Linked DNA regions of Saccharomyces cerevisiae S288C. Changing the gene in region 3 together with the main gene of any one other region gives a genetic interaction. Each region holds a gene or a part of one and is shown on either strand. Other genes may lie near its edges.

Region 1 (8,288 bases), on a different chromosome or scaffold from region 3:
AGGATTTATGGGGACGTAAACAACTTTACCACCGCAAAGTTCGATATTTGGAATATATTGGTCAAAGAAAGGTTCAAAAACAATAACCTCGTCGCCAGCGTTCAAAAGCCCCATCAAGCAAGAAAGTATACCTTCATTGGCACCTGTTGTTACGGTAACATTTTCCGCTTTCAATTCTGTGTTATAAATAGGAGAATACAACTTAATCAAGGAATTAATTAATGAAGGTCGACCTCTAGTTGGAGAATATTGATTGACCATTGGAATGTCTAGGGCTTTCTGAGCCTCCTTAATGGCGAATTGAGGAGGGGAATATGAAAAAAAGCCTTGGCCTAAATTAATAAGTTCACGGCCTTGGTTTTTGGAGTTATTGGCAGCTTTTGCAGCGGCTTCATTGGTTAGCGACCAAACATCTTTGGCAGTGTTAGAAGTGAAATATTTGTTGGCAACAACTTTCGGTCTCGAAGTAGACATTAGGTTCGTAAATTGACGAATGAATCGTTGTTTCATTGAGAGCAAGTAACAATGGATTCTATACGCAATTATAGTAAATTGAACACTTTATATATATCTCTATCGTACCTTCCCCTTTTAAACATGACTGAATTTTGGTATCTTGATTGTCATAATGACAACAAAAAAGCCACAGTTCTACGTCACGTGCTAGACACGACATGCTACTGAAGAAATTGTTATCAAATGAAAAGATACATTTATGTAATAACCACTACCAGGCACTTGCTAAAAAGAATCTACGTAAGAACTACATAAAGGTTAGCTTGTGCGCCAGAAAGTGATATCAAAGTTTTATGAACGCTGAACAATTTTGAGCCAGTAATTATCTTGGCATAGGAGACGATAAATGCCATCGTTCTTTTAAAGAGCTTATTAAGTTATTAACTCTCTTCGATTAGACATTCTCTTATCAAACGAGTTACGTTACATTTAGGAATAATGCGACAAAGATGGAGGTCTTGATTCCTAAATCCTACTCAAAACAATCTGCTCTACTGTCAAAATCCTTGCTCCGTAAATTGATTTCGTTGTCAGACGCTCACCGTACAAGAAGTTTGTGGGTATTTACATCGTAAGAAAAGTGCAACCAGATTCAATATTGAATTACCTGAGCGGTGTCTTCCTATATTAAAATGACGATTTTGTTTTTCTTTGTATTGTGAGGGTAGCAGATTCGTCTTCTGCACTTTTCATCTACTATTGCAAAGCCTAATACAAATACAGTTGTTGAATATAAAAATTCGAAATCAGCCTTCCATTCTCGAAAGTGAACAAGGAAACTCACTGGATAAAAATTCACACGAAAAGAAAAAACCGAAAAAAAGTAACTGTGTTGCTTGCAGAGGGTTTGATTACTCATAACCGAGAGACACGATCTGTAGCGGTGATATGAACGTATTCCTCACCTTCTTCTAACCCTTTGGAATAATAGTTTCCATCACTCTTTACAAAAGTAGCATTACTCACCAAATAAGGTCATAAAAAAGACTTTTATTTTGTATACATGTAAATTTTGGCAGCGGTTAGTGAGGTAAAAGAGATACGAATGAATATACGATACAATGATACAGCATACTGAAAAATCATCCTAACGATTTGGTGCACAGAAGGCTTTATATATTGACCAATTCATATATAATGTCCTCTTGCTACATGATATTATACCATTGCCCAGTTGTTTCTTAGCGTACATATATGATAGCAGACTATGCAAGTCGCTTACTCATTGAGTTTTAGTAGTAAATTCCTGAGAAACTTGTAACAATTCTTCATTGCATTCTTTAATTATCTTTGAATCTATTTCAAGCATTTTGCGTAGCTCATCCCATTCGTTTTGGCTCTTTTTATCGACTTTGATAGTTTCTGCCTCGATACGAGTTAGTTCACTCTTCAAGTACGATAAATCTTGTTGAAGGGATTTTTGAGAGTGAACAAAGCTGTTGAATTGCAATATTTGGTTTCGTATCTCTTTGAACCATTTCATCTCACCATGGCTTATTTTCTTTTCTTTAAATTTATTGGATTCGGCGATTTGAGATAGCTTCTTGCTCAATTTACTAAATCTCTCCATTAATTCTGACTGTCTGCTTAGTTGTGCATCCCATTTCTTATTTTGTGCTTCGAATTTTCTCCTTAAATCATCATCCTTTGAAATTATTTTGCATGTCGATTGTAGTTGGCGCGTCAATTCGAACTGTTGCTCATGAATTCTATTGTGGATAGAAACACCCAAAGTTTGAGCTTTAACAATTCTTTGCAAAAATTCTTTGGAAATATCCGTGAAAATTTCCAACTGATTTTCACTAGCTTCGTTTTTTAAAGGTATCTGGCGGTCTGCTGATGGGATAATTCGTTCACATGGACTAATACAGGCTTTTTGAAAATTATCGTTCAAAATAAGAATCTCATTTATGGGCTGTGTGAAACTCATTTTAAAACCATCTCCTACCGTGTCACTTTTTTCTGTACTGATACTTGTTTCAGCTGCGGTGCTTTGCGGTTTCATATCGCTTGAAATATTTTGAAAAGTCAATGTTTTATTCGACATCAAGGCTAAATTAGATTGGTCATTCCAGTTGATATACGCTAGGTTTGGAATTCTTTCTATGGTGGCAATATCCTCAAGTTTACTTTCAAATTTCAATCCTGCAAGTGGATTCAAATCCGATTCGTTGATACATTTACTCAATGTAGAAGCCCAGCTCATAAAATTTACTTGTTGTATAATATTATCGGAAATGACATAAAGTTTTCCCAACTGTTCAGGTAACGTTATTAGAGACTTAATTTCTCTTTGTAGTTTGACTCGTTCAATTAGAACCAAAGAATTATTATACACGTAATTGTCAACATCCCACGACATTGACATTTCCAAATCTTTGAAGAGTAAGATTAAAGACCCATCATCAAAACTGACACAAACAATTTCATTTTGCCCATTATCAATTAGTATGGTTGCAATATTTGTAGCAGTATAGTCATACAGCTCGCCGGGAAAGGGGTTTATCGTGAATGGTCCTTGAACCTTGGCTAAACGATATTCCTTTTGTATGTCGACTTTGCCAAATCTTGAATTCCAATTTTCATGCAGTTTTGACACAAACTGTAACTGCTTAATAACATTCCTTTTAACTATAACATCTGTTGTAGAATCCAGGGACTCGTACATTACTAAAGATTTGTTTAGGATCAAGTTGAGATCTTTCTCATTTAACAGTAATACTGACGGTAAAAATGGATAAAATGCAAAGATATCACCGCCTTCTGTGGTGTTTAGACAATATAACGTCAATCCGTCCTTACTGAATTCTAAATCTGTGATGTCGTTAACACGTGCATCTAAACCAAAGGAGTTGTTCGGTTTGTTCAAAACGATAGGCTTTTCTTGCGAATTAAGGATGTCAAACATCGTGATAGTGTCATCCTCTTTCAAAACCACTATACAAGAATCACGATAACTCTTTGGATGAAACAAAACTTTCTTAATGGACGATTTCGGACCAACTTCTTCTTCATCAATTGAATAGTGGAAAATTTGGAATGCATCTTGAATGGAAACGTCTTCAACGTTGGAATAGCCCCAAGGAACTTCCATTACAAAAATCTCGTTGTCATTGAAAAGACAGAGTAGGTCACCAGACGTACTAGATATTACATGGAAGGTATCATCCAAGACGAGATGACGACTAAAGTTCAAACTGTGGTAAAGTGAATCAGTGAGTACATTGTACCACCTTATTATGTTATCTTGAATGAAAACAATCCTTGTGCCATTCTGAGAACTAAAAATGTAACGTGGAGATTGGCTTGCCGAAAGCGATGCTTGGAAAATAGGAAGTGCACTTAACCTACTAGATTGGGACATACTTTGGAGTATAGAATTAAGCCACCACTCAATTATCGCTGTCCTTTTGTTGCTTAAATATTAAATGCAATTAGAATATTTGAAAGTATTCAACTTTTTTATTGAAGTTAATTTTTCATTTTTGCTGCCGCGAAAAGAGAGAAGGTCGATAGTAGATTTTTTTTTTTTCACTTGTCTCAGTATGAATCTATAAACTATCATATATGTATACATATTTAGACCACGTGAACAATTCTATGTTAATCAAGAGCGCAAAGGAGGGCCAATTCAGGTAACCAGCCATTCAGCAATCCCATCACAAAATTCCACCCAAGAAAATAACATAATTTTGGACTGAAAACGGACCAAATAAAGAGATGAAATCTCAAAACGACGCATGCCGTCATCAAACAAGTTCCAAATATACAATGATAGGTGAAGGCAGGTAACTTACTTCTGATGAACGTTTGCAACTTAACTTGTGCTGGAATAGAGGCGTAGTTTATTGACCACGGTAGCATGGACCAGTATATTGCCGGCGCGAAATTGGCAACGGACATTAATATCCCCACTACGTAGATGTTGTAGTCTGAGGAAACACCATGGTATGCGTTTCCAAGGTCTATAGTAGAAATGGAATTTGTGCCACCGAATTGGAAAAATGTAAAATTTTGTAAAATTAAGGACACCAAATTCGAAAAATAAATCTTACTTGTTGATGTTAATGAGGCGGTTGGAATATTTTGGAAAAAGTAAAAAATTTGGGACTCTAATATTTGGAAAACGAGAAATTGACCTATGTTCTGAGAAGAAGTTTGGAACATCAAAAGAATTGTTATATAAACTTTCATATCTTTAATGAGGTAGTTCTTGTTAAGTACTTTCAATTTCGTCAGGACCAACCTTGAAATGACAACAATAGCCCAAGCTTGGAAGAAAACGCGCGCAAGTACAATCAAGTTACTTTCAGTTGGTGCAAAGTCTATCTTAGCCAGTAAATCATGCATAAAGAGCGGTATTTCTGCCTGGTTACCATTGACGATTTCCCACGAGATTTTGTACGTGAAACACAACCCCACCAAAATAGTAGTGACAATAAAATGTAGTACTTGAAAACCAGCAGATGCCATTATCAGCACTAGAAATGTCAACATATTTAAGCACCACTTCCAGGAAGGATTCTGATTAAGTAGATTGGACATAACGTTAGAATAAATGAATTTCTGGCCACTGTTATTCCAAAACTTGATTGAGCGTACGCATGCCATCATTATAAACCAGCGCACGATTATGAGCACATTCAATCGGTATACGAACAGAGGGACCGCCGAGAATGCAGTTACTATCCACCACCACAGTTGGTGCTCCTCTTCAATGAAACTACTTGCAAATGTGGAAACGCCTAGTATAATGGAAACTAACAGAACAGACAGGGAAGAAACGCGCAACTGCCAAAAATCAGGCCCAGAATAACGTAATAATACATAAATGGCGATGATTGTTATTATGAGGAAACCAACAAAAGCCAGTGTCAAAAGAGGATAATTATAATTTGTTGCAGACTTGGTTAACGTTTCTTGAATAGTGTACATCTTTGTATAAATATCTTCGGCAGTGAAATCGTCAAGAGCAACCTCGCCGTGATGGTCTGATAATTTCCACAAATGCATAAAATTTTCTTTCATACTTGCCAACTTATTGGGCAACAGTTGTAAAAAGTCAGGTATTATTATCCCAACACTGTTCATGGGGATTGGCATACCAAACAGTGCTGCTATGGTGGGGACGATATCAATTTGTTGAACAGTCTCTAAATACTGGAAATTCCAGTCCGGACTAGCGTTGATGGGCAATGTGTAGTTTACTTGCGATTCTGGCCTAGCAAATTGCGCCAGCTTAGGTGACAAAAACAACAATCCTGCTGATGTTTCGCCGGCTGAAGAGCCACCATGGTTGCCCAGTTCGTTCATTCCATGGTCGCCAAGAACACAAATCAGTGTATCATCGTCATCTTCATGTTCCAACACTTCATCATATATTGACTTCAGAATGCTGTCCATTTCTTGATGTTTAGCAGCCATAAACTTTGAATGCGGGCCATCTTTATGCCCGATATGGTCAAGACCCAAGTAATGCAGGATAGCCACGTCCCACTGGGCCCATTCCTGAAATAATTTCCCGGGCAAGTTCCTCGTCACATTATTATCGACTTGAGTGAAATCACTGACAAAGAACGAGTGTGTCGGGTCAGCGAAGTCAAACCATTGCTGTGGGAACAGTTTCAGCCAGGTGTCATCGCCCATGAAACGAATCGTGTTATTATGTTGGATGAACTGCTGCAGCCAGGAATCGTGCTCCGAAAGATCGTTGGAATCTATGTCCTGGGCTACATTCAGCAGCAAGTCAATGAAGCTAGGTGTAGATCCCGTAGTAATACTTTTGAGTCTAGGCAGCGTCACGGTAGGCGGATTAGCAAATGACGTGTAACCCCATGCTTCGCCCGTATTGAGCCATTGGTGCACGTTGTTGAAGTGGGAAATCTGCGAATCAAAAAGAAAGTCTGATCTGAGAGCATCAATGATCACAAACACCAATTTCTGGAAGGGCCTATCGCGCTGGAGATCACGGTCTTGATCCGGATCTTGCTTTGATATACCTGTCAGCACGATTTTTCTAGGGAAAAAAGCAAAGATAAAGAGCAGAATAGCGAGTAATTGAGCGCATGATAGGCACGTGAACTGCTTCAAGTTCATCTTGCTAACTTGGTGAAGTGTGCGTGGTAGATGAACTTATTTCGATATTGTTTATACTTTAACATTTTCCTTTTTTTTCCCAAACTGAGTTTTTCATCATATTCTTAAACTAAAGAGCTGGCTGTTAGAGTAGGACAAAGAGTATAAACAAACAGAATGTATGTATATATCCGTATAAGCATATCTATATATATATATATATACATATACGCAAGTAGGTAAACTATTTACAAAAGAGGAGAGAAGAACAGCGCAAAGCCTATTGATGGAAGACCACAGCGTACCTCCACATTAACGGTCTTTTCATGCCTTCTTCTTGGCTTCGTACTCCTTTTTGAGAGCCTCGAGCTCCTGCGGATCGATGGGTGGAATGGGCACGTCTGCAAAGTCGTTGTCCTTGTGCAGAAAATGATATGTGTAGTAGTAAACAGAGCCCGTGACACCCAGCAGCAGCGTGAGACCGAGCATATTGCCTTTGAAAAAGGGTTTACGGGCCCTGATCATGGCAGGCGTCATCTTCCACGTGCGGGTGTCTTGGTACTTGGACGGATTCAAAACCATACTACTTTGTCGTCTATATATGTGCTTTCGTTGCTGCTCACGTAGTATTGTTGCTTATGCCACCATAGTAAAGACTCCCTTTATACAATGAGCAAAAATCACTGCTTTGTCTGTCACCGCGTACGAGGCGGGAAAAGTTGGTTAACAAGAACAAGTGGGATTTGACAAGCTAAAACAGCTTATAACGGTCAAGAGATTTGGCTACGCCAAGGAGAAAAAACGGTGAGAAGCACAGTCGAGCGCAACAATGACAGTGGGTATTGCTAGGAAACTCTCTAGGGACAAGGCGCATAGGGATGCGCTGCTAAAAAACCTTGCGTGCCAGTTGTTTCAGCATGAATCTATAGTGTCAACGCATGCCAAATGTAAAGAGGCTTCCAGGGTCGCAGAGCGGATCATTACCTGGACAAAGAGGGCAATAACGACAAGTAATAGTGTTGCACAGGCGGAATTAAAGTCCCAAATTCAGAGCCAATTGTTTTTAGCAGGAGACAACAGAAAGTTGATGAAGCGGTTGTTCAGCGAGATCGCACCGCGGTACTTGGAAAGGCCCGGTGGGTACACGCGTGTGCTGCGGTTAGAGCCTAGGGCTAACGACTCAGCGCCGCAATCCGTCTTGGAACTAGTCGACTCTCCCGTGATGTCCGAATCGCATACGGTGAACAGGGGCAATTTAAAGATGTGGCTGTTAGTCAAGTCAGTCATCAACGATGACGCCAACCAGCTACCTCATAACCCACTCACATTGCAGAATCTTCACAAAGTGGCCAAGTTTAAAGCAGAAGCGCAGCTACATGGTGAAATTATGCTCATCAAGCAGGTCTTACTCAAGGAAATGTCCCTTCCCTATGATGAGGCACTCGAAAACGAAAGGACGCAGGCACTTTTGAAGGAGGTCTACTCTTCGTCATTGCCAAAGAAGACGAAGAAACCCTCCTCCTATGTCATGGTTCCCAGACCTTAAAAAAACCAGGATTTTGTGTATTCCCTTGTAAATATATAGATGACAATTGAAAGAACAGCGCTAACAATGTGCGTATTCTAATATAGTGTTTTTTTTTTTTTCCAACTAGAGAAAAAAATGAAAAATGTAAGAGAAACAAAACAGAAGAAAC
Region 2 (6,344 bases), on a different chromosome or scaffold from region 3:
GATTAATGACCTCCCCATGTACTGTTACCACCATAGTTTGACTTATTTCCTTGGTTGTTCCAAGCAGACCTATTTCCATCGTCTTGGTTACCCCATGCAGAAGCTCCGCCATCTCTTGTACTTTTATTATTGTTATTTCCTCCCCAGGTGGAAGCCCCGCCGTAGGCTGACCTATCACCGGTACCACCCCAAGTAGACATGGCACCATTAGATTCACCACCCGACGCCCAAGTGGATGCACCGCCCCAACTTGATTTGTTACCCCAGGCTGAAGCACCACCCCAAGTAGAAGTAGCACCAGTACCTTGGCCGCCCCAAGCTGAGGCACCGCCGCCAGCACCGCCCCAAGCGGATGCACCTCCATTACCTTGGCCACCCCAAGTGGAAGCACCACCCCATGAGGAGACACCGCCACCACCTGAGCCTCCATGCGCATTTACAGCTGGTGTTTTGCCACCATCGAAGGAGCTCCATCCTGGTGTCATACCACCGCTAAGACCAGAAGAGGTAGCCGCAGCACCTGCTGCAATACCGCCAGTGGCCATGTTTCTTGGGGCACTGACGTAACTTGGGCCCATTCTGGCCTGTGGAACTCTACCACGTCTATTAACCAATTCATCATACGTGATACCTTCACCTCCCTCACGGTTGTAATATGTTAACTTATGCTTGTCAATTGTAATGTGTTTGTTCTTCGAGTGTAATTCGACAGTAGCTTTATCACCATTCACATCTTTCACAATACCTAATTGACCCTTGTAACCAGCAGAACGAATTCTTACTGTTTTGCCGAGTGCAACTTCACGACCTCCTCTGGACTGGATGGGTTGTTGGAATGTCTTAGATGATGGAGGTCCCATTTTAGAAATGATTTCTGGATTCATTTTACTTAGATCCATTTTGTTACTTAACATATTGTCCTTGGATGCCACGGCCTCAACGTTACTAGGGTTAACAACAAAAACCCCTGCATTTTCAACAATCTTCTTTGAAACAACAAAAATTTGTTGTGTTTGTATGTACAGGACCTGACCTTCTCTGCGTGAACCTACTTTCTCTACTATGGTATCACCAATTTTGATTTCATTACCATTTGCATCGACACTAGAAACGCGTGCACGAGCAGTATTTATTTTACTCAAGATAGACCCCTTCGTAATTGTCGACACTTTACCAGTTTCATCAATAACCTTGAAGATATCGTGGCCAGCTTGAATAATACAAGCAACATTTTTAGCACTCAATTCGACTATGTCATGTAGCGCATATTCACTTGATGTAGCTGTAGTGTCGATGGATTTGGACAGATTATTTGCTGTAATGGTAACTTCTCTGCTTGTTTGAGTTGACATAAATGTCACTTGACCTTGCTCTACCATAAGAACTAAACCAGCATCACCTTGATGTTCACCATTGATGACAGTAACGTGATCACCAGGTTCGAAAATTTTCCTCAGAGTAGAGATAGGAAATTCTAGAGGCGTTGTAAAGCCATTTAGTTTGATAGTAGCAATATCTTTCGTGGTTCTTGTTACAATACCCTTGGAACCACGTTGTTCACCATTTAGAACTTCGATACGATCACCTGGCTGGAAAGTGACCTTTGCAGCTTGAGCCTTCTTGATTGATTGTGAAACTGATGTTAGATCTACCGCGCCCTCTTTGGAACCGAATCTTGCCAATTCCTCCACAGTTGGCTGAATATTTTTGGTTTCCACATGTTGAATTCTGAAGGACTTATACAGATAACCATCGATATAATCTTCATTCTTATAAGTAAAGTGGCGATCATCCCTTTTGTACAGGTTAGCTTGGTCTAATCTTAGAGCCATTGTTGGATTAAATAATTGCGGTGGTGCTCTATGAGCAAAAGTTGGTCTTCTGGATTTACGTTGCTGTGTTGTTGGATCAATTTCGTCGAATTTACCATAATCCAGACGAGGAACAATTTTCAGCATAACTTCTAAATTATTCTCACTAATTTGGTCGACCATAGCTAAGTCACCCTTATAGATCCCTCTCTTAATACGAACGTAGCTACCTTCTTCCAAAGCAACATCATCAGATTTGTTTGGTTTTAGTAATAGAGGTAATTCTTGGACAGGAATTAGCAATTTTTGAGAAATATAAATATCTGGAACACCATTACAAAATTTTTCAATAACGGATTGCTTAGGGGCTTCGATATAGATTCTTCCTGTGTAATTATCCCTTTGGAAAATGGATAAAATTTTCAGTTTTTTCTTACCCATCGCCCTATCCAAATTGAATTTTTTTTTTAATAACTTACGAATCAATTCCTTTTCTTTACCTGGTCTGCAGCGCACACCCCAAATGGTAGCTGTATCAACACTTGGTAGGAGAAACCTCTGGGGCACGTAACCATCTTGAGCAGCAGCACGGTATTGCTTGGAGCTGCTTCTACCGTAACGCTCCCTTAATTCTTTCGCTAACCTTTGAGCGTCTTCTTCTGAAGTCTTGTTCAAATCTTGGTCCAGTTGTCTATGTAATCTATCGTCTCTTCTTGCGCCTGGAGCACTTGCTTCGTCATCTTCATCATCACCATGGGTAATGAAACCTTCACGAACCAACTCTGAATCCTCTTCATCTTCATCTTCATCTTCATCATCACTAACCTCAGCTTCAATATCCAAGAATCTGTTCCTCTCCTGACGACGCCTTTTAGTTGGGGCTTCATCGTCATCGTCCTCATCATCATCATCGTCATCGTCGTCTTCATCATCGTCTTCATCTTTGTTATCGCCCTCATCTTTGGTATCACCATCACTGTTTTTGGTGTCCTCTTCGCGAGGTCTCTTCCTTTCATCAGAGCCCTCTTCCTTCTTGACAATTTCATTTGCTTCGGATGAATCCGTATTCAAAGTTGCTTGGGCATCATCTGTAGCAGGCCCGTTACTAGATGAAACCTGCTCTGTGGCCGCCGTTTCTGCATTATCCTCAGGTTGCTGTGGCTCAGATTTTGCTTCTTTTTCTTCCCCATCTAAAGGGGGAATATTGCTTGTACTTTCTGCACGTTCTGTACTTTCCGTTGTGGTCACATTGCCACTATCAACAGTATCTTTGTCACTAGTATTTTCATCTTTAGTGTCAGTTGACTGCGGAACCACTACGGGATCAGCAAATTGTTGATCATGGTCCTGCATGCTCACGTTTGTGTCCGAGTTGTCACTCATAATTATCACAACACCCGTTCCTCTTTCCTTCTGCTGTTACCTACTTGTATGAATGGTTCTTGTCAATGCTACCAATCTTTGAACATGTTCATCCAAATTTTTTTCTATGTCGCATATCAGGCGGGTCACCTTTAGAAGGAACAAGTATGAAATATACTATCATATATATATATAATAACAATTACGCATGCAGGTGTCAGCATTAAGAAGCCGCAAGGTCACCTAAATACCTTCCGAGTTTTTTTTCAATGAGCAAATCCACTAACGTTAGTTATGAAAGAGTAGAGCTATTCGAGAACCCGAAAGTACCTATCGAAGTTGAAGATGAAATTCTGGAAAAATATGCGGAATCCAGTCTGGACCATGATATGACCGTTAATGAACTACCAAGGTTCTTCAAGGATTTGCAACTAGAGCCCACAATTTGGAAACTGGTGAGAAATGAAGACGTCATTATAGAAGGAACTGACGTAATAGATTTCACGAAACTGGTACGATGCACATGCCAGTTACTGATACTGATGAATAATTTAACAGTAATAGATGATTTATGGTCGATGCTTATTAGAAACTGTGGCAGAGACGTGGATTTCCCGCAAGTGGCCTTAAGAGATCATGTATTAAGCGTAAAAGACCTTCAAAAAATCTCCAATCTCATCGGGGCTGACCAAAGTTCTGGGACCATTGAAATGATTAGTTGTGCTACTGATGGCAAGAGGCTTTTCATGACATACTTGGACTTTGGTTGCGTATTGGGAAAACTAGGTTACTTAAAGATGTGAAGCGAACAAATCCATATTCAAATATTTTTTCTCCTTTATTCGGTTCTGGAATCTATTCATATATATGTAGAAAATAGTCGAGTACATATGCAATTATAGGGTAAGCTGATACACAAATGCATGGTGTGGTCCTCTTCCTTTGCTTAAATGATATGTTTCGTTTTGAAGTAGTTCTTCAAATAGTTGACTTGCCAAACACCCAGCGAGGACAAGACAATAATAACCAAAATTGAGAAATTTCTTACCCTTCTGTTGGTAGATTCATTGGTGTCTCTTAATCTCTCCTCTCTGTTTTTCAAGTAAGTCAATTCGTCGACAATTTCGTCGGTAATTTCCTCCACTCTACGCAACTCCACTTCTATAGGTTTCAATTTTTCGTTGGCACTGATCTTGTTCCAGTCACGAGCTTCAGCACCACTCTCAATGTCCAATTCAATGGCCCTGCTTAAAGAACGGCCACGATACTGAGCCTGATTTTCAAAACAAACGTCGAATGCCGTGGAGGATGGAGCAGTAAACGCAACACGAACGTCGCCTGCAAAGTCCCTCTTTCTACGATACTCGTTTCCAACTGAATCACGCACGAAGAGGTTTAGTTTCTGTCCATCACCAACAGAACCATCTGAGTGAATATCCGCGACAACCAATTGACCTTCAGTGACAAAATCACGAATACAAACCTGTTCTGGATCTGTAGATGCTGCAATGTCGAAATGTAATCCCTGCACTGCCACCACCAAAGAGATCAAAGTTGTCAACCATAACTGTAACACCTGCATCCTTTTTTTGCTTTTCACTTATGAGATCAACTGAGTTATACAACTAACTATAAAGGTAGGCCCCAGCTCCTAAAACAAACATATAACACGTAACAACCAACGGTTGGCCAAAATCATTAGGGAGACGAAAGAGTAAAAACGAAAAATGAAAAAAAAGTAAACTCCAGAAACTCTTTGTACGCGTTTGTCGTTTTTAACGATATGCTATTTTATCATTGTTCTTCATTTTCCTCATCTTCTTCATCTTCTTCATCCAGTGCTTCCACTAGAAGACTGCCATTTGGCCATAGCTGGGGCACTTGGTCCACCGACATGTGCTCGTTAGGATGCACAGTATACTTAGGGAAGGGCGATACCAATTCAAAGTCGAATTCAAGTTTACCACGTTCGAGATCAAATGAGGTAAGCTCGTTGTTGATGATGTGGCCGAGCTCTTCGATAGTGGTAGCAGTAGCAGTTTCGAGTTGTCCTTCTTTAAAGCAGAGCATATCGTCGTCTGCAGATAATTGCCTGATTTTGTCCTGGAGGGCGTTAGACCATTCTGCGGGGTCACTAGAATATACCGCGAGGTATATGTGACACCCAATGGATTGGTAGATTTGGTAAAGTGTAGTCATGGAGGGGAACTTCTTGACGAATCTTTTGCCACTAGAAGTCCTAAATTGCAGAGTAGCTTGCTTCCCCGTTGTCTCGAACGGCTGTATCTCATCGATGCAAGCCTTTAACCATTTTAATTGCCGAGCAGTTGAGTTTAATTTCAAATCCTGAGCGTGTTTCAAGCTCTTTTCCTTTTCTATAGCTTTGATTCTGTCCATTTCTAGCGACTTTTTGTACGCATCCTCCTGCAGTTTTTTTATTTCTCTTGACATGCGTAGCTCGTGCATTTCAGTTTTATTAACAACTAATTCTGGAGTGTACTTTTCCACCACGTTTGTTAACGACTGCAAGAATCTGTTCAGTGAATTGACCTTTAGCTTGCCGAGAATGGAGAGTCTTTGTGAGGGCAAAGTTTCTGAATGGGAAGCCTTATTAGCCACGTTGGCAATGAGGAATATCTCCGGGGTGTTTCTGACACCTAGTTGGCGAGCAACCAGCCAAGGTTCCAACTCGTGTACGCATTTCAAATAGATAATCAGGTCGTTATCAATCTTGCGCAAGTACTGTAAAGTCTTCTTGTTTAACAAAATCTTTTCCAATAGTAGTTTAGAATTAACATCTACGGTATCAGTATCGGTATCGTAGGTGTCGCCCACTAGGATGAGCAACATAAACTTAAACTCTTCTTTTGCAATACGCAAGGCCTCATTGAAGGAAATGTCTGGTTTAAAGCTTTTTAGTTCGCAAAATGCATCCTTGTCCTTCGTGTCACCCAGTATTTCTGCAAGTGGGATATGGGTTTCTCTGGTTGGTGCCTTTGGAACCTTGGAGATCTTGGGTTTTCCTGAATTACCGCCACCACTTATCGAATGCAGGGACAATAGAGTGCAAAAGAACGTGAATATTGTGGCAGATAACCTATTGATTATCCGAGGGATCAACAGTAAAATAAAAAGAAAGGGGTTACCATCATAACTAAAAGATTCAAACAT
Region 3 (9,278 bases):
TGAACGACTTAGTCATACAGAGTCTATTTTAGCTTAACCATTCGGTTTTATTTTACAGTCTAGACTCAAACGAGTGAAAAATTGCGATATCTGCGATGACCGAGTCCTGAACAATAAAAATTGACCAGCAGGGAAAGAAAAGGAAAAGATCTCAACTCTGGCGGTTGCCTCCAGGACCTGCACTAGAAAGGACTATTGAGTGTAGACTAAGTGGTGGACGGGATGGAGGCACTTATCGTATTTATAGTGCTTTCCGTATCCGGAGCATTTGCTTACAAATGCTCCTATGAAAGGCTCTGGTTTAAAGTAGGGTCTTTGTTTGACATTATATCAACTTCCTCGAAGAAAAATGTCATTCCGTTGGCAAGCAAAATGGAAGTTGGCTCGAATGAGGATGTGTCTAGTATGGGTAATTTCATAAATAAATTCTACACAGAGTATTCTTTACCCTCACATAAGGTACTGCAATCACTGCGAGTCCTTTTTTCATTAGCAATGATGACGTATACAGTAACCATAGAGATTATTCTATGGCAGATTAAGGTTGCTGGAATGGACAAGGAAGTTACTTTCATAACGACTTGGGTGTGGCCTCTGACTGCAATCATGCTATCCTTCATACTAATTTTATTTCAGCCCTTTTTCATTATAATATCGTTACTGAATAAATTCTACAATGACAAGTTCGATATCGATAGGTTGATAATAGTGACATGCATAATCTTGTCCACACTTATTGCGCTGTTAAGTTACATAAATATTGGACCGTTCCAGTACACAAAAAATATTCTAACTAGATTGTCCATCGGAGGCGTCACAGTCATGGCTTCCCTATCTGGGTTAGCCACTGTTTCTAGTTTATACTACAACTTTTTAGTCATCTGGCACAAGTTTCGTAATACACCAATGTCAGACCCCAGTTTTAGAAACATCAACAACAGCAACAATAACAGTAAATCTCTCTTATGGACAACAGACGCCTATATAGAGGAAAAAATCCAAGATTATGAACACAACATTGAACAAAATGTACAAATATTAAGAAGTTTAGAAGAAGAGGTCGGAGAAAACTCAACTTTTAAAGCAGAGTTGATGGAAAAAATCGCCTGGTATCAACTGGAGCTTGGGAAATTGGAAGCATTATTACAACAGTCCCCTCAGGTACGCACTTTTAAGAAAGCTTTTGAAGTCGGGTTTATCATATACTGTCTTCATAAACTAATAATAACTTTCCTGAAAAGAATCCCCTATATCATATACCACTCGCTCAAATATCCAGATGACTACGATTATGAAAATTTTAGTGAAAATGCAGCATCCGATCCTTTAGCCATTACGATAGCAAATATTTTGGATTTTTCGTTTTTCAGGTTCAATTACCAGCACGATCTCGATTCGTTAACAAAACAGATATCGTTATTTTTGTCAATTTCTCTCTTTCTTTGCTGTCTTTCTGCTGTCAATACCACCATCTCCTACGTTGTGACCCTTTTGCCCATAAAGTTCCAGATTCTTGCACTTTTCGCCATGCAGAATGATGACACTGCTAATGTACTTCCAGAGTACACCAATAACTCTTCCTATAAGGGAAAAAAGAGAAACTATTCTCAGGAACAAAAAGGAATATCTTTGATAAAAAATCTGGTGGTGTCAGAGTTGACTGGCGTCTACGTTTTGGCTACAACGCTAATGGTTAGGTCCCATCTCCCTTTTGAAGTATCACAAAGATTAAAGGAGCTATTGGGTGGAAAGTTTACCGTCCCAAACATTGTCATAGATTCTTGGTTTGATGAAGTCTACGCTTTTGCATGTGTGTTTACCTTTATTTGCATAAGAATTGCAGAACGAAAGCTTTCCACCAAAAAAGTCAGTGTTGAATAACTGGAGTAGTATGTCGATGTTCGATGTTTATGAGATATGTATTTATAAAATTAAATGTCTGTCGGGTAGTTTATGTAGGGATGAGAAAAGTAGTATAGGTTCATGAAGAAGTACAACTTTTTTTCATTTATGCAAGGGCGTAAAAATTATGGATGGTTACTACTAATGATCAAAGTAACATTAATGCAATAATCAACCAAGAAGAAGCAGAGGGGCATGAACATGTTATGAATACAAAAATTCACGTAAAATTTGATCGTCACTTAAATTTTCCTTGACAATCATATAAACACCTATTAATAGGTTTGGAAAACGCTTGGTGAAGTAATCGTAAAATCCATCGGGTACCGGCCCCATTAGTTCTGCTATATCTTCAGGTAAATCCATAAAATGATGATATTTATTCCTAAGTGCTCTTAATAGATCCATTAACTTTGATGAATGGTATTTTCTGTACCTTTCAAGGTTGTCCATGAATGTTTTATCAAACTTGACAGTCCAATCTCCACTGGGTATTACAAAGTCAGAACCGGCGTCAAATTTCATTAACAGGGCACTTGGAGGGTCTCTGTTTTCAATTTCAAGCCTATCACTAACTTTTAAAAGGAACTCCAATTTTTTCGACTTTGGCCAAAACAACGGATGCCTTAGAACTTTCATAGCAGTAGGTCTTTTTAACGGATCGTGATCAATCATTTGGGAGATCAGATCTGTAGCTTCTGCAATTAAGGATCTATCATGTAGACATTTCATTTCATCAAGACTGAATATTCCTCTTATGATATTGCTTTCACGTGAATATTTATCTCCAAATGGATGCTTCCCTTTGGATAGGATATAATAGAATACACATCCCATAGAAAAAATATCAATAGATCTTGTTAGCCTCCTCTTGGTGAACGGATCATAAAAAGAATCAGATGAAACTACTGTATGCCTACTAGAAGAGTGTTCCGTTTCGACTTGGCACTGCAAATTGTTTGATTCTTCAAGCAGCTCTGGGGCCCTCCAACCACTTGTGCCAGAAGGGTTATTCAAATTTGTTCTAAATGAAGACTGACCAGAGTCTAGTTTTTTGCAAAGACCAAAGTCTGATATCAAAATTCGAAGATTTTCTGCTCCTGTTTGCTGATCGGCAGTAAACCTACTCGAAGTAGAAACGAGAATATTTTGAGGCTTTAAATCTCGATGGATAATCTTTAAAGAATGTAAATGTGCTACCCCGGACGCTATTTGTCTCAATAACGAAATTGGATTATACTCTTTCTGTAATTTCAGGTTTTCATCTGATACATTCTTAGACTCCACCAAATCTTGAAGGTTCAAATTGCAGAGCTCTAAAGCAATATACAAAAATCTGTCTGTTGTTTCTGAACAGTAGTATCGTATGACGTTAGGGTGATCATCGCTTTCAGTCAAAAGTTTTATTTCCATTAAAGCTATGTCACAAAAATCAATTAACATTCTCTTTACCGCAACAGGTCTTCCTTGAAAACTTCCCTGAAAAACTACTGTTCCTGATGAACCGTAACCTAAAATTTTTTCGGATACTACCAAATTTTTTAAAGATTGCTCAAAGTTTGGTATATTTGCAATGCGTGATTTTCGGCCCTTTTTGCCTCCTCTCGAACCTCTTTTCCTCTTCTTCTTTTCTGTGGTTAAATCTAGTGATTTTTCATCATCTTCATCAGCATCATCGTTATCTTTTTCAGATTTTAGACTTCCATCGTTCACAGCACCTTCAAAAACAACTTGCTTCCCTGATTTCATATCGAATGGCTTGGTTACATTTTCCGATGAAGAGGGACAATTTAGCGATTTCGACTCAACTATGGGGATTTCCTTTTCAGGCATAAATCCAATTTTGGATAATAATACATATAGTGGCGGCAAAATTTTGAATCTTTGTAGTATTGCACAAAAAATGAGAAATAACAACAGAAATACTCCAGTCTCTATAATTCGATATACTAGACTTCCAAACTTCAGTAGCAAAGAATTTTGGTTCTTTTCATCTAATTCTCTCGATATTTGCTCGTGTATCTTTTTTCTATATGCCTCAAGGTCTTCTGGTGACATGTATTCCTTTAGTGAATTCATCTCGTTATTCTGATGTAAATCGGTTGTATCAACGGACGAATCAATCATCAGAGGTGGATATTTGTGCGTAGTGTCCAAACTATTCGTTTTTTCATAGTTTTCATAAAGGTGATCATATTCATTATTATATATCTGATGAACACCCATGATTGCGTTCTTGAATAAAGTCTCATCTTCAAAAATTGAAGACACCCTCCAACGGTCACTGGAAGCGTATCTTGATATGGGAGCTGATTCGACTAAAGATGGAAAATTCTGACTAGATAATGCAAACCAGGAGAGGTTCGAAGTCTGATCCAAGTAAACTTTGTTACTCGATATACTTTCATGATCACCAGGATTAAAGGGATGCGGTACCAGTATATTTTCATTGGTGCGGAGATCATTAAACACATCGAAAAGCCCAACAATAATTCCGGGGAATGTCGGAGAAACCCATCTAGCAATTCTAAAATCTAAATCGCTTGCTAGCAATGATTTATCACGGAAAGGCGCTATGCACATGCCGTCCTTTGAAAATGTATTCTGAAGCGCTAGGGGAACATCTAAAACATTTTGCTGCCATGTAGAGTAAGTGACATTGTAGCTTGCTCCATCATAAGAGTGAATTCCCAGCTCAAAAATAGTTTTGCCTATTACAATCATATTTTCACATTCCTGAAGTTTTATCTTCTCCTCAGGTGAGCAATCCACACTCTGGCTCCCGAAATACCCGTTTTTTGAACCAGGTCCGAACGCTGATATAATTTCACCATTCAACATGTTTATAGTATACATTATAGTTCTCATCGATCCAGTGTAGACCTTTTCATCTTCAACAATTTTTCCAGAGTCATTAACCACAATATTTGTTTTCAAGTGCAGCGGGGAAGTTGATACAAGTTGTCGTATGGATAAAGGCAGTTTTTGTAACCCTTGATGGGCGTTAAAGTAGTAAATGTTCCCATCACCGAAAGGTTCTATAATCAACGTTTCATATGTTTCTAACCTCGAAGGTTCTTGTATTTCTATCAGAGGTTGAAAATTTTCTGGTTCGATTGACCATATGATATGACCATTTCTTCTATCTACAGCATGAAGTCCACCCTCAACGTCGGCTGCGATTAGTATATCTGATAAACTCAGTTCGTTCAAGGAACGATTCTCCAAATAGGGTACACTTATAGAATTGGCAGCCCTACGTCCTTTTTTGTTAGCACGTCGATTATCAGCAGTATTCAATAAGTTAGGAGTTGGATATGAGCTGAGTTTCATATTTGGTAAACCTTCAGTGGTTCTTGGAGCAGGAATGGGCGAGTTTATATTTTTATCCACACCATAGTTGAAATTGAGCTTTTTAGTGGAGGCAACTTCATCTTCCACTATCTGCCGCCTTGAGGTGCGAGACGACAATGGGATTGAGCATGAAATGATGGATGAAAACACACAAACGAGCAGTGTCAATACTAACATGTTTCTTCGAAGTAGACGCATTTTTCAAAGTGCTAAAATATTAATTCCTCAGATATGCTGTTTTTTTAATGTGTATGAAGGGTGATATGGAGAAAAGTGATAATGGACGTGGGGAAGAGGAAAACGATGCTTTGTGAATGAGAAAAAAAAGTTACTTAGCAGATTACCGATTATTAACAGTGCCAGTTATAGTGTAGATTTAATTGTGTAAAATTAATATTGTTATAGACTTTTCACTGTTAGTTTATGTGAAGTTGGCTCATTGATCTCCTATGATATGTTTTTCGTTTATTTCTTGTTACTATGTGATTAATCTCTTTTTTTAAATTTTATTGTTGGAATAGTCGAAGGTATTGCCCGAAGAGGCTTACGCTCCGTCTTGATTTTCGGCAATAAAATAGCGAAAACCTATTATATAACAGAGGGTAATAAAACCTCAAAACTACAACTATCAATATATTTCACACTACGCAGCTTAATTAGTAACTGTATAATAGCATTTAAGTTCATTACTTCTTTGTAATTTTATCTTTTTTTTTTTTTATATAGTTTTCAGCGCGCAGCAGAGTTTCATTGGAACGCTTCGCACGTTGGAAGAATAGAACTGTCCCTAAAAGCCCATTAGTCCTTCATTGAATAACCGATCTCTTCAAAAACATCCTTAATTTTGCATTGCTTTTCATCAGCAATTATTTGGGCCAACCTTAAACCGGCATCTCTCAATTCGTTGTACTCCTTTAACTCTTTAATGTACGTCGAGGAAATTTTTTTTGGTGTCTCATCACTTTGACAAGTTCTGTTAATAACAGAAACTAAATATTTTTTGTTTGTTATACCGATTTTTGCCGACTGGAAAAAATAGCTACATACTTTTTCTTTTCTTTAGACAATTGCTCAAACATCTTTATCAGGTTGCCATTCATACTTTCGTATTCCTGTATCTGTTTTTGCTTTTTATTTAACTGTGTTTCCAAATAGTTCATACTTGCAAGTTGTCTTCTGTTTATGGCAAGGATAAGACCATTGCTTTTAATTTAAAATTATTCTTATACTCTGTCTTTGCATTTATGAAGCAGAAATAGAATAGCCGCCATTAGGCAGAACAATTCCGTCTGATGTGATAATGCAAAGTGTGCCTGTCATCTAACTTAAAAGGAATCAGGCCAACCGCTACAGGATATGTACTAGATACAATTACTAAATAATACAAACAGAATATATAAAATGCTATTAAGATAGATCATTTGCGTCCCTCTCAATGTTGTCCAACATAGTTTTCATATGATTTAGTTGCATTTCTGTTATTTTGATACTTTCTGATAATTGCTGCAATTTGTGTTCGTCATCGTTTCTCAACATAGCACGACCTCGAGGTGATATTGCACTCCCTCTGTTACTGATCCAATCCCAAATATCGCTTTCCCTTCCTACAATAGGACTCTTATCCCTTGCGTAATTTACATTTTCTCTCTTCTTCTTAGATGATATGGCGTTTTCATATGAGTTATACAGTGTGCCGAAACTGGGCACGTAATTATATTCTTGACCATCAATCAGCAGCCTTCCTGGCTTGATGATTTGAAGATTATTTTTTTCTTGAAACACGTGAAGCCGAGGAGACCAGAAAAGCATAATGGTCAACCCCAAGATCAAGAATAGTTTTTGAGGACTCAGCAATTTGTTCATAAAAATTTCTGAACTAAAATTATTCTGAACGAAATCCAAAATATGAGTTAAAATGTCTTTATTATCATCGCTCTTACGGCTTTCGGAACTTTTCTGTTCAACCTTACTATGGAAAGGCCTATGTTTATCATGACTCTTCATTACTTTCTTCACCGGTTTTTTGCTTTTTGCCCTGCTAATAATGTCTCTTAACTCGGATAGCATGTAATCGACAGAAACCTTCTGACCCTCAACAGATCCTTTCTCAATTGCACCTTTCAAAAATGATTTACTTGTCCAGTTGATTTTTGTTATAACGGTCATATTCGTGGTGTCATGCTGCCCCCAGAATAGAAAGATTTTACTTTCTACTGCAAAATTGCTACCAGAGGGGACGTCTGGAGTTTTAGTTGTTTGTGTCACCAAAACATAGTTATTGATATCCATGTGTTCAATAGACTCGGTTAGTAAACATTTTGTTTGCTTAGGTCCGATAGAATTGTTCAATTTCTTCGTGTACTCATAGTGTCTTGAACCTCCTTCAACCAACGAAGGCGTGAATTTTGGTATCGTTTCCACATTGACATTATTCTTATCTCTAGTGATAACTTTCTGCATATACTCTGTATTCGATCCAAATAGCAATTGGACCACGGTCCCTAATGGAGCTGGTATATTCTCATTTTCCCTTATAATAGAGTCATCCTTATCCTTTTGAATATCAGGCTCGGTAGGTGCATGTGAGCTAGGTTCCATTTTCGGTAAAGTTGATACTGTAACAGTGTTCTCCTTCGAAGACCTTTTCCTTTTGGTAGCAGATCTTGTTAAAATATTACCAAGCTCCTCCACCAATATCTTTGTTGCATCCGTTACACCATCAAATGTACCCTTTTCAATAGGACTTTTGATCAAGCTTTTACCTGTCCATTCAACAGAGACATACAGTTTTAGTTTTGTTTCATTGTTGTTTGCCCATGATAAAAGATAAACTGTTCTCACATAAAATGAATTTCCAGAAGGAACATCCGGAGTTTTTGTTGTTTGCAAGACTTGAACATACTCCTCTAAGTTAAAGTGTTGAATGGTTTCAGTTATCATGCATTTAGTTTTACCGGGTCCAATGGCACCTGGTGTTGTTTTTACGTAGGAATAATCTCTCTTTTTACCTTCAGAAACCGTGGGTGAATCAACGAGAACAGGGATTGGCGAAATATCACTATTCTTTTGCGCTTTTAAAATGGCCATAATATAACTGACATCTTTCCCGAATAATATATTGACAACCCGCCCTAACGAAGCGTGTATTGTTGATTCGTTAACTAATTTTTCATTGGGCGCTGGTTTGTATACTGTTTCTGTGGGTGAGTGAATTTTTGGACCTAGTGGTGGAATTCCTGTTCCATAAGGGGTGTCTGTTTGTAGAGGCATGGGTAAATCTTCCGGCTTTCCTATGCTGACGCTTGATGTCATGTCGGTAGAATCAGATATGTTATTGCTATTATCGTAAAGATCGTCATCATCATCTCCATAATCATCGTAATCATCATCGTAATCGTCATTTTCATCATCACTGATAGAATTGGAGCTGCTATTAGTGTTATTACTGTTGCTACGAAACCTCTTTCCCAAAATTATTTGATTCCATACTTCAGTAATTAAATCATATGTAGCATCTCTTGAAGTGAAAGAGGCAAACGTGTATTTTGTGTGTAAAGTGTCTATAACGATCCCATTAGGGAATATTCCTGCTGTGGCCCTTTTCTCTATTTGAACGATTGTCTTGAACGGTATAAAAACGGTACTTACCCAACCAAGGATGTTCGAATAAAATCCAATATGTTGATCAGAAATATACATTCTGCCTTGCAAAAGGATATCTCTTGACAAAGCACAACTATGGTCTAAAATCAACCTTTCATTGGGGCTGACACCAGAGTCCTTGAATATTGCATGGAATTCTGCATCTTTCTTTTCGCTCGCGTATTCGACTCCCTTTATTCTAATGCTGGATTGTCTACCATTTTCCTCCGATGGCTCAATGATATTTACGGGGGTAGATGAAAAGCTTTTACTAGAACTTCTCCTCAATCCCGAAGATGGACGACCGTTGGACATACTAGGTCTCGGTATGATGGTCGATGCAATATCAGTGCTGTTTTTTACTTTGTTTAGCGAATATT
Region 4 (7,437 bases), on a different chromosome or scaffold from region 3:
TTGTTCCCTGAAGACTTGAATATTCTTGGTAAAGTTGAAGTTGAATACAAAGTTTTGCCAGGTTGGGATCAAGATATTACCAAAATTACAAAGTATGAAGATTTGCCGGAAAACGCAAAGAAGTACTTAAAATATATTGAAGATTTTGTTGGCGTTCCTGTTGAATGGGTTGGTACCGGCCCCGCAAGAGAAAGCATGTTGCATAAAGAAATTAAATAGGGCGTTGGACATCCATGACAAACTTCAATTTAATTTCTTTTCACAGTTTTATAGTTTTATATATACGAAATGTAACTAATCATGACATTTTTTAAAAGTTTTCAATGAAAAAATGAAAGAGTAATGAACAAACATATTTTTTTTATAAAATGCATAAAAACATATAGATATATATATATTTACGTGGAAAAATGTTAAAACTATTGATAAGAAAAAACGCTCAAAACAAGTAGTAAGCAGGCTTTTTTTTTTTTTGCTGCTTGTTTTAGAGAACCTGTATATCAATTAGTAGTCTCAGTTGGTTTTTCAAACAAACAGTAATCAATGTAACGAACACCGTACACTTGATTCCATTGTTTTGGTAAAACTATTTGCATGATTCGGTTGATTGGCTCCGGTACGTAAAATGCTCTACCCAAAATCTTAGAATTTTCACCGTCGATGAATGCAGCACATGCCAGCTTATTCCAGTTATCCATCAGATGTAGAGGGTTGAAAACGTCTTTTGTTAAATTTATTGGGGCGACGATGTCAATAAAATAATCACATCTAGTGATCGGCCACTCTTTACCGGTATCATATATATTCTTGTTATTCATTCCCTTAGGTAAAGTTCTAATCTTTTTGAAAATAGAACCACTCTCTGGAAAATCACCTGGAAGAAGACCATCAAATCCAGATTTAACAAATTTTAGCCTATGATTATCTGGCAGCAGGAAAGAACTTGGGAAGTGATACCATTCACGTCCCGTACATACATTCACTACCGGTGCCTTCACACCACCTTGATTTAGTGAAGAAAATTGCTCGTAGACGGCTATAGGAGCTGTGTAATTGTTCACCAAAGCCACTATCCGTGACATTGCCTGGCCTGCAACAATTAATAAAACTGACAACTTTATACCTTTTTTAAGAATCGGCTTTCTATTGAATAGATTCAACACTTTGTAAAAGGCGATACTTGCACTCAAAGTTATTAACCCGTAAATTGGATAGAGAAATCTTTCCTCTTTGTGAGGTTGTTGAGTGAAAACGGCAATCCATGTGAATAATGATGCCCATAATGGCCATAATCTCAAATGGAAAATTCCCAAAATAGCTAAAACTAGCACAGGCAGTGGGAAATTCAGTAACAAATTTAGTGGATAGTAGTACCATGGCTCAACCCCGAAAATATTTGGGCCAGATTCCTCACTTGCATTAATGACATTGTAAAATAAGATGTTCCATGATACAGGAGCAAGCTTCCCGTAAAATATACTGTCAGTGACAATCACAGCAAATGCAGTCAATGAAAATATCAAACAGCAGTCGAATGCGGTTCTGATGGTAGAAATAATTCTATGGTTGAAAAGGTAATGTAAACATAATGGCAAGCTTAAAATTAAAACAAATGGCCAGCCTAGTATACTAGCCAGGAAATTGTACGCTAAACTTTTCGTAAAGTTAGAAGTAGACCCAGTGGACAGATAGCGTAGAGAGTGTCTGGTGGCACCTACATACAACAACATGGCAACGGCAGAAGGCAATAATTCCACAGATGCATGGAACCAGCCCGGATTAAACAATTGGAAAATAATCCAAATATTTGCGATTTGCAATGCCAAGCTGCCTGCAATTTCACGATGTAGTTTAAATTCCATGATAAAACTAAAAAAGCCTAAGCATGCTCTTGTGATGAAAAAGTTCCAATGACTTTCTAGGTCAGTAAATTTGTTTACTGGATAAAGAATACAGTAAAAAGGTAATAAGAAAGCCCATGATCTAATAGAATACTCGGGTGAATATTCCCAGGTTTGTTTACCAAATCCACGTACCAATAAATTTAATGGTTCCCAATAATTAAAAGTTTCATCGCAATCTGAAATTAACGAGAATGTCGGCTGAATATATACTCTTGTTAAAAATAACAACAGTAATAAACTAATGGTTACCGCCTTGCAATTCATCGTTCCCTTATAATTGTGCTTCAGGGTGAAAAAAGAGCCAATTCGATACAGCTAAAGTTTTGAAATCTCGTTGAGTAGCCGTAATGGTACAATAAAAACGAAAAAGTATTCTCTATTGTGTCAAAAACACCCCTGTATATCCAGTTGTCCCTTTTTCAAGCTTGTATTGACAGTTCTGAATATCGCAGAACGGTTCTCATCAAAATTCAATATTGCGTAACGGACTTATTGTTGCATTTTCAAGTAAATAAGCCGGGTCAGGATGCCCGCCGTAGATAGTAAAAAGTAGGTATAACATGCGCAAGAGCAAAACGGATTTGACAACATATCCAAGTGATAAGTGGTCGTTTAGATACATCATATACTATAACGGTTTGATATTGAGAGCCCAGTTAAAATTAACATCTGTTTTTTGTTTTTTAATTGACATTCAATCATCGGTTGCTTTCCTTGTGAAACTGTACGCGTTGTCTTAAACGAAACGTGTTTTAAGGTAGGTCATCGACAGGTAAAAAATAGCTTATTAGCAGAAGAACGCTAGCGGTAAGATCTGAAACAGGATCGCACAGTCTCAATGAGTAACAAGAGGACATCTGTAGAACAGCTCATATCATGCCCAATTTGCTCTAGAAAAGTCTTTTTTTCCTTAATCAACTCTCATCTTGACATATGTGGCAAGGAAAAGTCAAAGCCTTCGAGTAGGCCACAAACGGTGTCAAGTCTTTTGGCAGGCCCAAAAAAGAGGAAACAAGCTAACTCAGAGAAATTCATTGATCTTGAAAATAAGGACCATGAAATTAAGCCAGGTCTTAAGAGCGAGAGTGATGATATTGAGATTGTTGAAAATGAAAGCAAAAGATTTAAGGCAGCACCATCCACGGATTTTGCGAAATCAATAGTGGAGCCTGCTTCGAGCAGAGATCAACTTCACAACGATTACGAAAGCAGATGGTTGCAGAAAATAAGCCATTTGCCACTTAGTGAAAAATTGAGGCCAAAAGAATTAAGAGATTATGTAGGTCAGCAGCACATTCTCTCTCAAGATAATGGTACATTGTTCAAATACATAAAACAAGGGACTATACCATCTATGATACTCTGGGGCCCTCCAGGTGTAGGAAAGACTTCACTAGCTAGACTATTAACGAAAACTGCGACAACCAGTAGTAATGAATCAAATGTTGGTTCCAGGTACTTCATGATCGAAACAAGTGCGACAAAGGCAAATACGCAAGAATTGAGAGGTATATTTGAAAAATCAAAAAAGGAATATCAATTGACCAAAAGAAGAACTGTACTTTTTATTGATGAAATTCACAGATTCAATAAAGTTCAACAGGATTTGTTATTGCCACACGTAGAAAACGGTGACATTATTTTGATTGGTGCAACGACAGAAAATCCAAGTTTTCAGCTGAACAATGCTCTCATTAGCAGATGTCTGATTTTTGTCCTAGAAAAGCTGAATGTCAACGAACTGTGTATTGTTTTATCAAGAGGAATTGCATTATTGAATAAATGCAGGAAACAAGTATGGAATATTGAAAATCCTTTGAAATTGTCTAGAAGCATACTGGAGTACGTGGTAGATCTGTCGGTGGGTGATACAAGGAGGGCGTTAAATATGTTGGAAATGATCGAAGTTTCAACAAGAGAGCGCAAGGCCGACGAGGAAGAATTATCTATCGATGATGTACGAGACATAATTAAGAACAACAGCAGCAACGGGTTGAATACATACTATGACCCAAAGGGAGATAACCATTATGATACAATCTCTGCGTTTCATAAATCCATTAGAGGTGGGGACGAAAACGCCTCACTGTACTATTTAGCAAGAATGTTGCAGGGAGGAGAGGACCCATTGTATGTTGCCCGAAGAATGATTCGAATAGCTTCTGAAGATATCGGATTACGGGATAGTTCATTATTGCCCTTGGCTGTCGCGGCACATGACGCAGTAATGAAAGTTGGTTTGCCAGAGGCAGACCTTGCACTGGCGCAATGTTGTGTTGCTTTGGCTAGGGCACCAAAGTCAGTAGAACTATATAGAGCTTGGAAGAAATTAAGGGCAATGATGAGCGAGAACATGTACAGTTTAGCAAGCAGTGAGATACCGATGCATATCAGAAATGCGCCAACCAAATTGATGGAGGAGCTGGGTTATCATAAAGGCTACAAGTACAATCCCGATTATATTGAAGGAAAAGTCCAACAAGACTACTTTCCCAAAGAAGTGCTCGAGAAATGTCCAAATAAAACTGACTTAAAGTTCCTGGACGGCAAACATTTAGGAGACAAAGAAGATCCTGACTTGAGACAGTCATATCAGGGTTAGTCAAGGGTCTTCCATACTTCTCTCAATGCCGCGTCTACAATTCATATTTTTTTCTCTGTTGGCCAATGCCGCTTGTTTTTTTACGCTTGAGGCGCATTGCATTGCTGGCACGTTTTTGTGCAGCATGAACGATATAAACTATAATTTTAGATAATCAAGGATCCACCTTTTTTTTTCATGCTAGAAAAGTCTCGCGGGCCCATCTGAGATATATTAGAACATATACGCATCCTATAAGAAGAGCACATTATTCTTGAATTAGTTCTTCCTTTTCCTCGACCTTCCAGCTTGTAAAATGAGCCAGGCTTGAGGAGCATAGATACGCAAAAATGGAAGATAAGCGGAAAAGACGAGCCGCTACACTTAGTACAGCATTGATATTATTTGTGGCATGCTGCGTTTATACACTATATATATTCAAGTTTGATAACCCTCGGTTGTCTCCACCAGTTTCCTTATTGCCTACAATTAGCACCTTGAAGAAAATTGAGCATGTAACAGATTTAAATAAGGAGTACGTTTTTGTTGGTGACGTTCATGGTAACTATGATGAGTTCATAGAACTCATTGATGACAAGATTGGAGGACTAGGAGAAAATATAACAATGATATTGCTGGGTGACTTTATTCACAAGGGCCCGGACTCAGACAAGGTCGTGTCGTATATTCTAAATCACAAGGATCAAGTCAAGTGCGTTTTGGGCAATCATGAAATATTGGTCATGATGGCCTATTTAAACCCAGACTTCTCGAAATGGGTAAGACGCCCCAAATTAATGACACCTTTAACTTTCAGTACGGAGACTAATTTCATACCACAAGACATCTCTAAAATCAGCAACGCACATGGACGGTTAGCTCGCGAACTTGGGTTTTCCAAATTAAGTCAGCTAGCGGAACATTGTTCTATGGCCATAGAACTAGATCTGGATATTACCGGTGATATACTCTTTGGTGCACATGCAGGGATGGTTCCGGGAGACTTCATGAAGCCCAACCAAATTCCGGGCGTGAGCTCTCTGTCAAACATGAAGTACGTTGATAAGAAGAACTGGTCAAAAACATCACGTGAAAAGGAAAACAAGAATTATGTGAGATGGTACACACTGTGGGACAAATACGGAGACCACTTTAGTAACGCCAAAGTATTTTACGGGCACGATGCATCCATGGGACTAAACCTACGGAGACAGACCAAAGGTTTGGACACAGCATGTATAAAGAACAATCTGCTTTCATCTATGAAAGTGAAGTACGATATTAAGAAGGGGCAATATGACTATGAATTAATTCAAGTACAATGCTCTTAAAACAAAAAGTACTACTTAAAAGCGCAACAGATTTTATATAATGTACTATATGAAAAAGATATGAATATTATTATGTAACTCATAATACTGAATCTTAAATTTCAATGAAACTTTCGCTGGAGCTACAAGTATTCTTGCCCAATGGCCGCTACCCGCCTCTTCTTCGTTGTTGAAGTTTTAAAATTTAGCGAGAAAAGAAAACAAAACCGAAAACAGACAACCGCAATCATTTCTTCAACACCCAACATCCAGCACCTAAACACCATCAATACACGTTTTAAACAAAACAAACCCATAGCCCAAAAGGTAGTAAACACAAACCGTTGTATACGCAACCGCCCTACATAAGACACTATTTGCGTACAGATTATCTCAATATGTCTAGTCCAGATGATTTTGAAACTGCACCAGCAGAATATGTTGATGCATTGGATCCGAGTATGGTCGTTGTTGACAGTGGTTCTGCTGCAGTCACAGCGCCATCGGATTCAGCCGCTGAGGTAAAAGCTAATCAAAACGAAGAAAACACTGGTGCTACTGCTGCTGAAACTAGTGAGAAAGTGGATCAGACGGAGGTCGAAAAGAAAGATGATGATGATACCACTGAAGTCGGTGTAACAACTACCACGCCTTCCATTGCTGATACTGCTGCTACCGCTAACATTGCTTCGACATCAGGTGCATCTGTTACTGAACCTACTACTGATGACACCGCTGCTGATGAGAAAAAGGAACAAGTAAGTGGTCCTCCTCTGTCAAATATGAAATTCTATCTTAATCGCGACGCGGATGCGCATGACTCTTTAAATGATATTGATCAATTAGCGCGTCTGATTAGAGCAAACGGTGGTGAAGTGCTAGACTCCAAGCCAAGAGAATCAAAAGAGAATGTTTTCATCGTGTCACCCTATAATCATACCAATTTACCAACGGTAACTCCGACTTATATTAAGGCATGTTGTCAAAGCAACTCGCTACTGAACATGGAAAATTATTTAGTACCATACGATAACTTTAGAGAAGTTGTCGATAGTAGGTTGCAGGAGGAATCGCATTCTAATGGTGTAGATAATAGCAATAGCAATAGCGATAACAAGGATTCTATCAGGCCCAAAACAGAAATAATCTCTACGAATACTAATGGCGCTACGGAAGACTCAACCAGCGAAAAAGTTATGGTAGACGCTGAACAACAAGCTAGATTACAAGAGCAAGCTCAGCTCCTTCGTCAACATGTAAGCAGCACCGCATCAATCACAAGCGGAGGGCACAATGACTTGGTCCAGATCGAACAACCTCAAAAAGATACCTCCAATAATAATAATAGCAACGTCAACGACGAAGACAATGATCTTTTGACACAGGACAACAACCCTCAAACAGCAGATGAGGGGAATGCATCTTTTCAAGCACAAAGGTCCATGATTTCGAGAGGCGCTTTGCCCTCCCACAATAAAGCTTCTTTTACAGATGAGGAAGATGAGTTTATTTTGGATGTTGTGAGAAAAAATCCAACCAGGCGTACAACACATACTCTTTACGATGAAATATCCCATTATGTGCCTAACCACACGGGTAATTCTATTAGGCACCGATTTAGAGTCTATCTTTCCAAAAGACT

What was found.
Region 1: mutations in IRE1 (region 3) and LAS21 together harm fitness more than expected from each alone (negative genetic interaction), as found in Saccharomyces cerevisiae (5 studies listed by BioGRID, with this or other methods).
Region 2: mutations in IRE1 (region 3) and ERV25 together harm fitness more than expected from each alone (negative genetic interaction), as found in Saccharomyces cerevisiae (5 studies listed by BioGRID, with this or other methods).
Region 4: mutations in IRE1 (region 3) and ALG9 together harm fitness more than expected from each alone (negative genetic interaction), as found in Saccharomyces cerevisiae (6 studies listed by BioGRID, with this or other methods).

The regions. Positions count from the first base shown.
Region 1 is NC_001142.9:315,608-323,895, reverse strand, and holds LAS21 (mannose-ethanolamine phosphotransferase LAS21), read right to left. Parts: upstream 6,613-8,288; coding exon 4,120-6,612; downstream 1-4,119. Other genes in the region: BNA3 (kynurenine--oxoglutarate transaminase), read right to left, coding at 1-510; linker nucleoporin NUP82, read right to left, coding at 1,739-3,880; COA3 (Coa3p), read right to left, coding at 6,916-7,173; mitochondrial 54S ribosomal protein bL17m MRPL8, read left to right, coding at 7,421-8,137. UniProt on the Saccharomyces cerevisiae protein: Ethanolamine phosphate transferase involved in glycosylphosphatidylinositol-anchor biosynthesis. Transfers ethanolamine phosphate to the GPI second mannose.
Region 2 is NC_001145.3:244,527-250,870, reverse strand, and holds ERV25 (Erv25p), read right to left. Parts: upstream 4,756-6,344; coding exon 4,120-4,755; downstream 1-4,119. Other genes in the region: transcription elongation factor SPT5, read right to left, coding at 3-3,194; RAD33 (Rad33p), read left to right, coding at 3,443-3,976; UBX2 (Ubx2p), read right to left, coding at 4,968-6,344.
Region 3 is NC_001140.6:256,138-265,415, forward strand, and holds IRE1 (bifunctional endoribonuclease/protein kinase IRE1), read right to left. Parts: upstream 5,455-9,278; coding exon 2,107-5,454; downstream 1-2,106. Other genes in the region: YHR078W (uncharacterized protein), read left to right, coding at 223-1,881; SAE3 (Sae3p), read right to left, coding at 6,055-6,217, 6,304-6,416; LAM4 (Lam4p), read right to left, coding at 6,664-9,278. UniProt on the Saccharomyces cerevisiae protein: Senses unfolded proteins in the lumen of the endoplasmic reticulum via its N-terminal domain which leads to enzyme auto-activation.
Region 4 is NC_001146.8:235,496-242,932, forward strand, and holds ALG9 (dolichyl-P-Man:Man(6)GlcNAc(2)-PP-dolichol alpha-1,2-mannosyltransferase), read right to left. Parts: upstream 2,169-7,437; coding exon 501-2,168; downstream 1-500. Other genes in the region: ADE12 (adenylosuccinate synthase), read left to right, coding at 1-219; ssDNA-dependent ATPase MGS1, read left to right, coding at 2,743-4,506; PPN2 (putative serine/threonine-protein phosphatase), read left to right, coding at 4,836-5,816; DNA-binding transcription factor RAP1, read left to right, coding at 6,194-7,437. UniProt on the Saccharomyces cerevisiae protein: Mannosyltransferase that operates in the biosynthetic pathway of dolichol-linked oligosaccharides, the glycan precursors employed in protein asparagine (N)-glycosylation.